Coturnix japonica: one gene and its partner. The protein of the gene in region 1 binds, or shares a complex with, the protein of each later gene. Links are inferred from orthologs where the notes say so. Each region holds a gene or a part of one and is shown on either strand. Other genes may lie near its edges.

Region 1 (3,816 bases):
TAGCTGCATGTCTGTATCCCCATCCTTATATCGCAGACCCCTCTAGAATGACTGCTCCTGAAATGTTTCTGTTGTTGGCTGTAGAAGTAGTTGTTGAAAGCGTTGTTTATGTGTTTATTTTCTCCTTTTGTAGATCACAGCAATGGCTCGTTTAATTTGAAAGCCCTTTCAGGAAGCTCTGGCTACAAGTTTGGAGTCCTTGCAAAAATAGTGAATTACATGAAGGTATGGTGGTTTCATGTAAAAGTATAATGCTTGGAAATGCTTTATTTTTTCTCTGTGATAGTAAGATGATGCTGAATGTTTCAGACTTTGAGATTTATTTACTGCACAAGACCAAGAATTTCAAGAAACTGGGCTGTTAAAATGTAAAATGCTGTGAGTAAACAAAAGGCCCATTATGTTGCTTCATCACTGGAATCCCAGTTATTCCAGGTCTGCTTAAAAAAAGGAGACTGGTTTTGTTTGCATTAGAACTTGGAATTTGAAGATGCTATCAGCTTTTAGGATTCATGAGCTGTTTATCAAAATAACTTGTAACTTGGTGCTTGACAGATAATTTTGTCATTTATCTCAGCTGATACAAACTGATTTTTCTCACATCTTTAGAGGCCCGAAGTTGGTACTCATATGCTCCGTGTGCTGTGTCTCTTGGTTTCACAGAAATTACTGTGTCATCACCTTCTGCCAGTTTTTTGTTACCCTGTGGTAATTGAGCTGCTGAATAAAGAACTACAGATCACTGATAGATCCTCTTTGTTTTCCAGACTCGGCACCAGCGTGGTGATACGCATCCATTAACTCTAGAAGAGATTTTGGATGAAACACAGCATTTAGATATTGGACTCAAACAGAAGCAGTGGTTAATGAATGAGGTAAAGAAAAGCTTTTGATTGGACACTGGAGGATAGTGATAAACTTGAACTGTATATGTTTATTTAATTACAGACTCTATAAATATTGAAGTTCTGCTTTTGAGAAGTTGCATTGATTCATGATTTGTCTTGTGCCTCCTGCTATTGAAATAACTGAAATGAAAGCTATTCTGACGTTTTTAAAGGGTCAATTAGAATTGCTGTTAGTAGAGCAAAGAGTAAGTTGTAATTGAGGTGAACTTCTTATTGCTAATCTTATACATGCAAACTGTTGTTTTTTTTAAAAGAAATTTCTTCTAAACAGAGTTCAAGCAGAAAGCCCTATCACTATCAAAGATTTCAAATTACTTAAGTGAAAGCCTTAAAACTCATACTCTCAGATCTTTGTTGTTTACTGAATTGAAGAATTCTGTTGTGAAATCTGTGTCTGGAATTGTGGGGTAATAGATCTCAAAGTTCCCCTGCTGGAGTTCATCAGTTTCATGATTTATGTTAGGTTTCATTCTTGCAGAGTCACTGCAACTTCCTGCTGTGTTCATCTTCGTGCTTAATTGATCCAAATGCCATCATGGCATTTCAAGACTAGTAAATCAACAAAACCCTGTATTTAGTATTTATACTTCAGCAATATCTGGTTTTGCTGATATTATACTTAGAATCCTTGCAACAAAGTAGTAAAGGTTGTTGATACATGCAGGGGGGTGGAGAAATCTCTGTAGTAAAACTAGGATGTTTTAAGTTATGTTTTTAATTAATACTAATATTCTGGAGAACAGAAAACTGGCAATGCTGCTATCATGAAAACTTGGCTCCACTGAAAGCTTTGAAGAGTAGCTCTAGGTTGTTTCCATAACAAATTAGAATATTGAGACTGAACCAAAAAGCTTATATAAGATTATCACTGCGTCAGTAATCCGTGATGGTACCGCGTGCACAGAAAAACTGATTTGGATCAGATCTTAAGTCGTTTCAATTGTCCATGAGACATCTTCACTCTGAAGCAGCACCATGAGAATGTTGTGCTGTATGTTGCAGTGAGTTATGCCCAGGCTGGATCTCAGATCCAAGGATTTAAAATTTGTTTCAAATTCAAACCTCCGAACTGTCAGCTATAACACATGGCTGACATACTGTAGCTATTGAAGTACTAGTTTGTTCTCTCTTTCAAGGTTTAAAATGTATATTTCTATTACAGGCTCTAGTCAATAATCCAAAAATAGAAGTTATAGATGGGAAGTTTGCTTTCAAACCCAAGTACAACCTGAAAGATAAAAAGGCTCTGCTCAGGCTCCTGGACAAGCATGACCAGCAAGGGCTGGGAGGAATCTTTTTAGAAGAAATAGAGGAAGGGCTGCCCAATGCACATAAAGCTATAAAGGTGAGTCACTCTTGTCTGGGCTTCAGCAAAACTCTTGGATAGGTTCTCAAAGGAGAGGTAAAAGCTAAGAGAGAATTTTCTGAGTTCTTTTTGTTCTTGTGGTGACTCAGAAGATCTGATTTAGTACCTTTTTCTGTACGTCGGCCTTTATGTTTAGAATTGACCTGACAGCACAGCTGTCAAAGCTTTCTTACAAAAGGTGCTTTATCTACTATGTTGCAACTGAAGGCACTTAATTGTGCTTTCATATCTTGATCTCAGCCCTCTATATCTTGTCTTTGCTTTATTAATGCATTTATTGATGGTGTCCACTTTGGTTGCATTTTGTTGCTTGTTATTTTGCTGCTCTCTGATTCATTGATCTCTTTGTAGAACAGGATCTGGGTCTGTTATTCTTAAAATAGAACTGATTTGGGGTCCTTTTTTTTTGCATTTGTTTTAAAGGCTTTAGGGGACCAAATTCTCTTTGTTACCCGCCCTGATAAGAGGCAACTTCTTTACTACAATGACAAGAGCTGTCATTTCTCTGTGGACGATGGTAAGTGTTTATTTACATCTGCATCCATGGTTTAAATTCAGCTTAGACAGCTGAATGTGAAGATAACAGGACTAGCAAACGAGTTCAGGGATAATAACCTCTGTTTTCTACTGAATGCATTGGTACATGGCACCAGGAACCCTACAATTCAAGTGTAGCTGAACAGAAAAGACTAAGAGTTGTCCATCTGTGGCTTAGATGACATCGAATATTTTGCTGCAGAAAAGCAGATGAAGAACAGTGGAATTTCTTTTGGGTTTGTGTGCTGCTTTTTGTCCCAATTTATTAGTCATGTACTTTTGTTGGTGAATGCAATGAGGAACCAGGAATTGAAGAAAAGGAACAAGCAGACTGGGAGGAGATGTGAGCAAAAGTACTGGGAAGAGTTGGTTTACGACTGGGAGGGCACCCTGAGTGTGGGCTGGTGCTGCTGTCTAGAGCTGGGAGTGGAACTCCAGAGCTTCAGCCTGTATTTTTTATCTTACAAATAGTGGTAAAGTCCTCTGACGTGAGTGTGCCTGTTGGCTGAAAGCAGCAAGAGGACAGGTTATACAATAATATATGTATTTACAGAAATTAGTTACGCCTGTCAGGGTGTGTTGCAATGATGACATCAGAGCCAATATCAGATATCTGTAAGTACAGAAGGGAGAATGCATTCCCTGGTAACAGACCTTATTTTAAATGGCTCAGGGACGCTGAATACTTCATGTTGATCACTTGTTGTTCCGTAACATGCCACATGAAGCCATATTCCAAAGCGTCACATGATAGTAAAAGAAGGAAAAAGTTGTCATCAGACCTTAAACAGCTGTATGTGCAAGGCCATAGAACAAAACGTAAAGCTCTTTTGTCTTAGAATAACTCAGAGGAACTCTTTATTTTAAACAGAATCAAGCAGCTTCTTTGTTCCATACCAGCCTTGGATTCTCATTTACTTAATAGCTTATTTCTGCAAAGATAATTTAGGAGATGTCACCTACAGCATTTAAAAGTATAAAGATAGTTTCAAAATATTATTTTAA
Region 2 (3,415 bases), on another chromosome or scaffold:
CCCAGGGCCTTGTCCCTCACTCAGGGTGATGCGGTGCTAATGAGGGGATGATCGGGTGGGCTGTGATGTTGCTCCGTGCCACCTCCATCATCTCCTCCTTACCCACATGGGTAATTGGCAGCCTGGTGACAGACAGACTCATTAACAGCTTAATTTTGGCTCGCTCTCTTCCTGCCCAACCCCAGCCTTAGGGGGGCCGCTCAGTGGGGGGATGTCAGCGCTGCACCCCATAGCACCGCAACATGGGGATGGTGCCACCCCATAGCACCGCAACATGGGGATGGTGCCACCCCATTGCCCGATGCCAGCCAGCTTCTCCCCAGGTCTGTTTGCTCCATAACGGCGGTGCCGCGGCTCCTTTGTGCCCGCAGATAAGAGGGGCCGCGGCCGCCTCTGAAGCACCGCTCCCACCCCCGAGCCGGGCAGGCTTTGGGGAGAGGGCAGGGATTTAGGGTGCAGGATTTGGGGCTGCCCAACCACCCAGGTGCCGCCGTGGCTCTGCCACCTGCTCTGCCTCTGTGTGCAGACCCCATCCCCATCAGCCCTTCACTCCAAAGCCACGGCCCCATCTCCATCACCATCCCCCCCATCAGAGAGCACTGGAGGCTGTGTTGGCCCCCCAATGCTGCCCCACCGGATGGAGGCCTGGCCGCCGTTCAAAGCCGTGCTCATGTTGTATAATTTATCAGTGAAAGATAACAGCCCCACGGCTAAACCTCCCCACCCACACACAGCCCGGCACTGTGAGCAATGGGACTCCCAGCCTGGGGAGAGCCCACATGGAGGGACCCCCGGTGTGTCCTACTGTATGCTGGGATGCTTTGGGGTGCACCAAGGCAGAGCTGTGCCCCCCCCCCCCCCAAAATCCCTTCATATATCCCGGCGCACCGGGGGCTGCAGAGCACCTGGGGACGGTCTGTGGGATCCGTGCAGGTTGGGGGCGGGCTGAGGGCTGGTGCTGTGTGCTCTGAGCGGCACCAGGTGCCGGATGGGCTTGTTTGGCTCCAGATAAGGAGGAGACGGCGGCACCGGGCAGGTGCTATAGTGTGGGGGCTGCCCACCCCAACCTCGGCTCCTCGACCCCGGAGGTGCGGGGCCGCCAACCCGGGTCCCTCCGTGTCCCTCCGTGTCCCTCCGTGTCCCTCTGTACCAGCGCATCCCTCCGCTCACACAGCCCGGCCGCATTGAGCCCTTTGGGGAGGGGGCTGGCGGTAGGAGCTGGGTGTCACCGGGGATGTGACACGGAGGGAAGGTGACGCTGTGGGGTGTGACACGGGTGGGCTGTGGGGTGACGCTGCTGCCCCCCGCCCAGCTCCGAGCTCCGTCCCGCCGTGGATCTGCCCCGACCCACGCGGTTCGATCCGCGGCCGCGCAGCGCCCCCTACCGCCCCCTGCGCTGCAGTGCGCCCCCCCAGCCTGCAGGGGGCGCTGCCGGCGGCGCTAGGACCGCGCGGGCACCTCTGCCCGCCCACCACGAATGAGGTTTCCGGATGTGGAAACACGTCATCACCGTGCGCCGCAGCGGGAGCCGGCGCGGGAGCGAAGGGGCGCCGCCATGGCCGGCATTCTGTTCGAGGACATCTTCGATGTGAAGGACATCGACCCCGAGGGGAAGAAGTTCGACCGTGGTGAGATACGACCCCCCCGCTCCCCGCCCCTTCCTCCCACCCGGGGCTCCGAGGGCCGGGCCGGGTGCGGCGGGCCCTTCCCGTTGACGCCCCGTCCCGGCCCGCTCAGTGTCCCGGCTGCACTGCGAGAGCGAGTCGTTCAAGATGGATCTGATCCTGGACGTCAACATCCAGATCTACCCCGTGGATCTCGGTACGGGACGGGCGGGGAGGGGGGGGGGGGCAGCTCCGGCTGTGCGCTCTGAGCGCTGCTTTGTTATCGCCTCCCAGGGGACAAGTTCCGTCTGGTCATTGCCAGCACCCTGTATGAGGATGGGACGTTGGATGATGGGGAGTACAACCCCACTGATGACCGGCCCTCCAGGTAACGTGGCTCGCAGTGGTGGGAGAGACCCCTCCTACAAGGGGCCTCCTCGCAGAGGATGCTCTGTTAGGGGATGTGGGAAGGATGGTCTGACGCTTCTCTCAGCTCCCCTCATGTCATTGCAGGGCGGACCAGTTTGAGTACGTGATGTATGGCAAGGTGTACAGGATTGAGGGGGATGAGACGTCCACAGAGGCAGCCACACGCCTGTGAGTGGCTGTTGAGAAGGGGACGCGTTGCCTGAGGGTGGTGGGGAGGCAGCGTTATCTTGACTGGGTCTCCTATGGGTTTCCCTGCTCTCACTGCTCCTCTCCTCCTGCCCCAGCTCTGCTTATGTGTCCTATGGGGGGCTGCTCATGCGCCTTCAGGGAGACGCAAACAATCTGCATGGGTTTGAAGTGGACTCCAGAGTTTACCTGCTGATGAAGAAGTTGGCCTTCTAGGAGATGATGCACCTCAGAGGGCTGCCTGCCCCCAGAGACATTCTGTTGGAGAGCAGAAAGGACACCATCACCCCAAATCCTGCCCCAGCACCTTTGCTGCCCAGTCCCTCCAGTGGTGGTGGAGGAGGGGACTTTCCCCCTTTGTCATCCCAGTCTTTTCTGACTGTTTCCCTTCTGTGCAGGGGCTGATGCCTCATTCTCAGTGGAGACCGTGGGTGCTCTGTGGCCCTGCCTGCTGATCTCACCTTCCTGCACTTCAAAAGCAGGCTTAGCCCCAGCTCTAACCAGGGGCCGCTGGACTGGGGCACTCACCTGTCTGTGCTAGGGCTGGGCATCATTTTCTAAGGAGCTGTTCTGAGACAGATGTGGCTTCTTAATTAAACTGCTATGTGTTTTCTAGATGTGGTTGTTGTGGCAAGGTTGGCTTCCCAGAATGCCGGTTGGTAGATGAAGATGGGATGCTCATGGAGGATGTTGTGGTAGCAGACAGCAAAGGTACCACATCAGGGGCACTGGCTTTCAAGCTGCAGCTCCTGGAGGGGCTTGGCCTAGTCTGAGTGATGCTGTGTGACCCCAGAGCTCAGCACAGTGAAATTGGCAGGTGGATACTGGAAGGCAAGGGGCATTATTATCTCACATCCCCAGCTGAGCCCACCTGCCCTGCAGAGATGGCAGCCACCACAGGAGGGAGCTGGACACTGGGAAAATCAGGAGCGTTTGTTCCCCAGCTATTGCCTCCCCCAGAGACTGGTGTATGCTCCTTAGGCCAGTGCTACAGCAGGGGGAACAGGAAGACACAAACAATCCTTTAGAAAAATAGGTCTTTAATTGTAAAGCATTCACAGTCTGATAGGAGCAGGGCATGTGCCTCGTGCTGCACAGGTATGGCTGCTTTTGACCTCTGTGGGCCGTGTGATAGCCAAAGGCTTGTGGAAAAGGAGCCAACCCTTTCCCCGTGGCACCTTCCTGGGCATCCAGAG

Evidence for each region.
Region 2: GTF2E2 (region 1) and POLR2H share a complex: the UniProt entries of both Homo sapiens proteins name them as parts of the TBP-based Pol II pre-initiation complex. The link is inferred for Coturnix japonica from reciprocal best matches to the Homo sapiens genes GTF2E2 and POLR2H.

Annotation. Positions count from the first base shown.
Region 1 is NC_029519.1:30,644,663-30,648,478, forward strand, and holds part of GTF2E2 (transcription initiation factor IIE subunit beta), read left to right. Parts: intron 1-133; coding exon 134-225; intron 226-767; coding exon 768-875; intron 876-2,070; coding exon 2,071-2,253; intron 2,254-2,697; coding exon 2,698-2,791; intron 2,792-3,816. UniProt on the Homo sapiens protein: Recruits TFIIH to the initiation complex and stimulates the RNA polymerase II C-terminal domain kinase and DNA-dependent ATPase activities of TFIIH. Both TFIIH and TFIIE are required for promoter clearance by RNA polymerase.
Region 2 is NC_029524.1:13,963,180-13,966,594, reverse strand, and holds POLR2H (DNA-directed RNA polymerases I, II, and III subunit RPABC3), read left to right. Parts: upstream 1-1,491; 5' UTR 1,492-1,555; coding exon 1,556-1,628; intron 1,629-1,737; coding exon 1,738-1,821; intron 1,822-1,898; coding exon 1,899-1,992; intron 1,993-2,117; coding exon 2,118-2,201; intron 2,202-2,317; coding exon 2,318-2,435; 3' UTR 2,436-2,836; downstream 2,837-3,415. UniProt on the Homo sapiens protein: DNA-dependent RNA polymerase catalyzes the transcription of DNA into RNA using the four ribonucleoside triphosphates as substrates.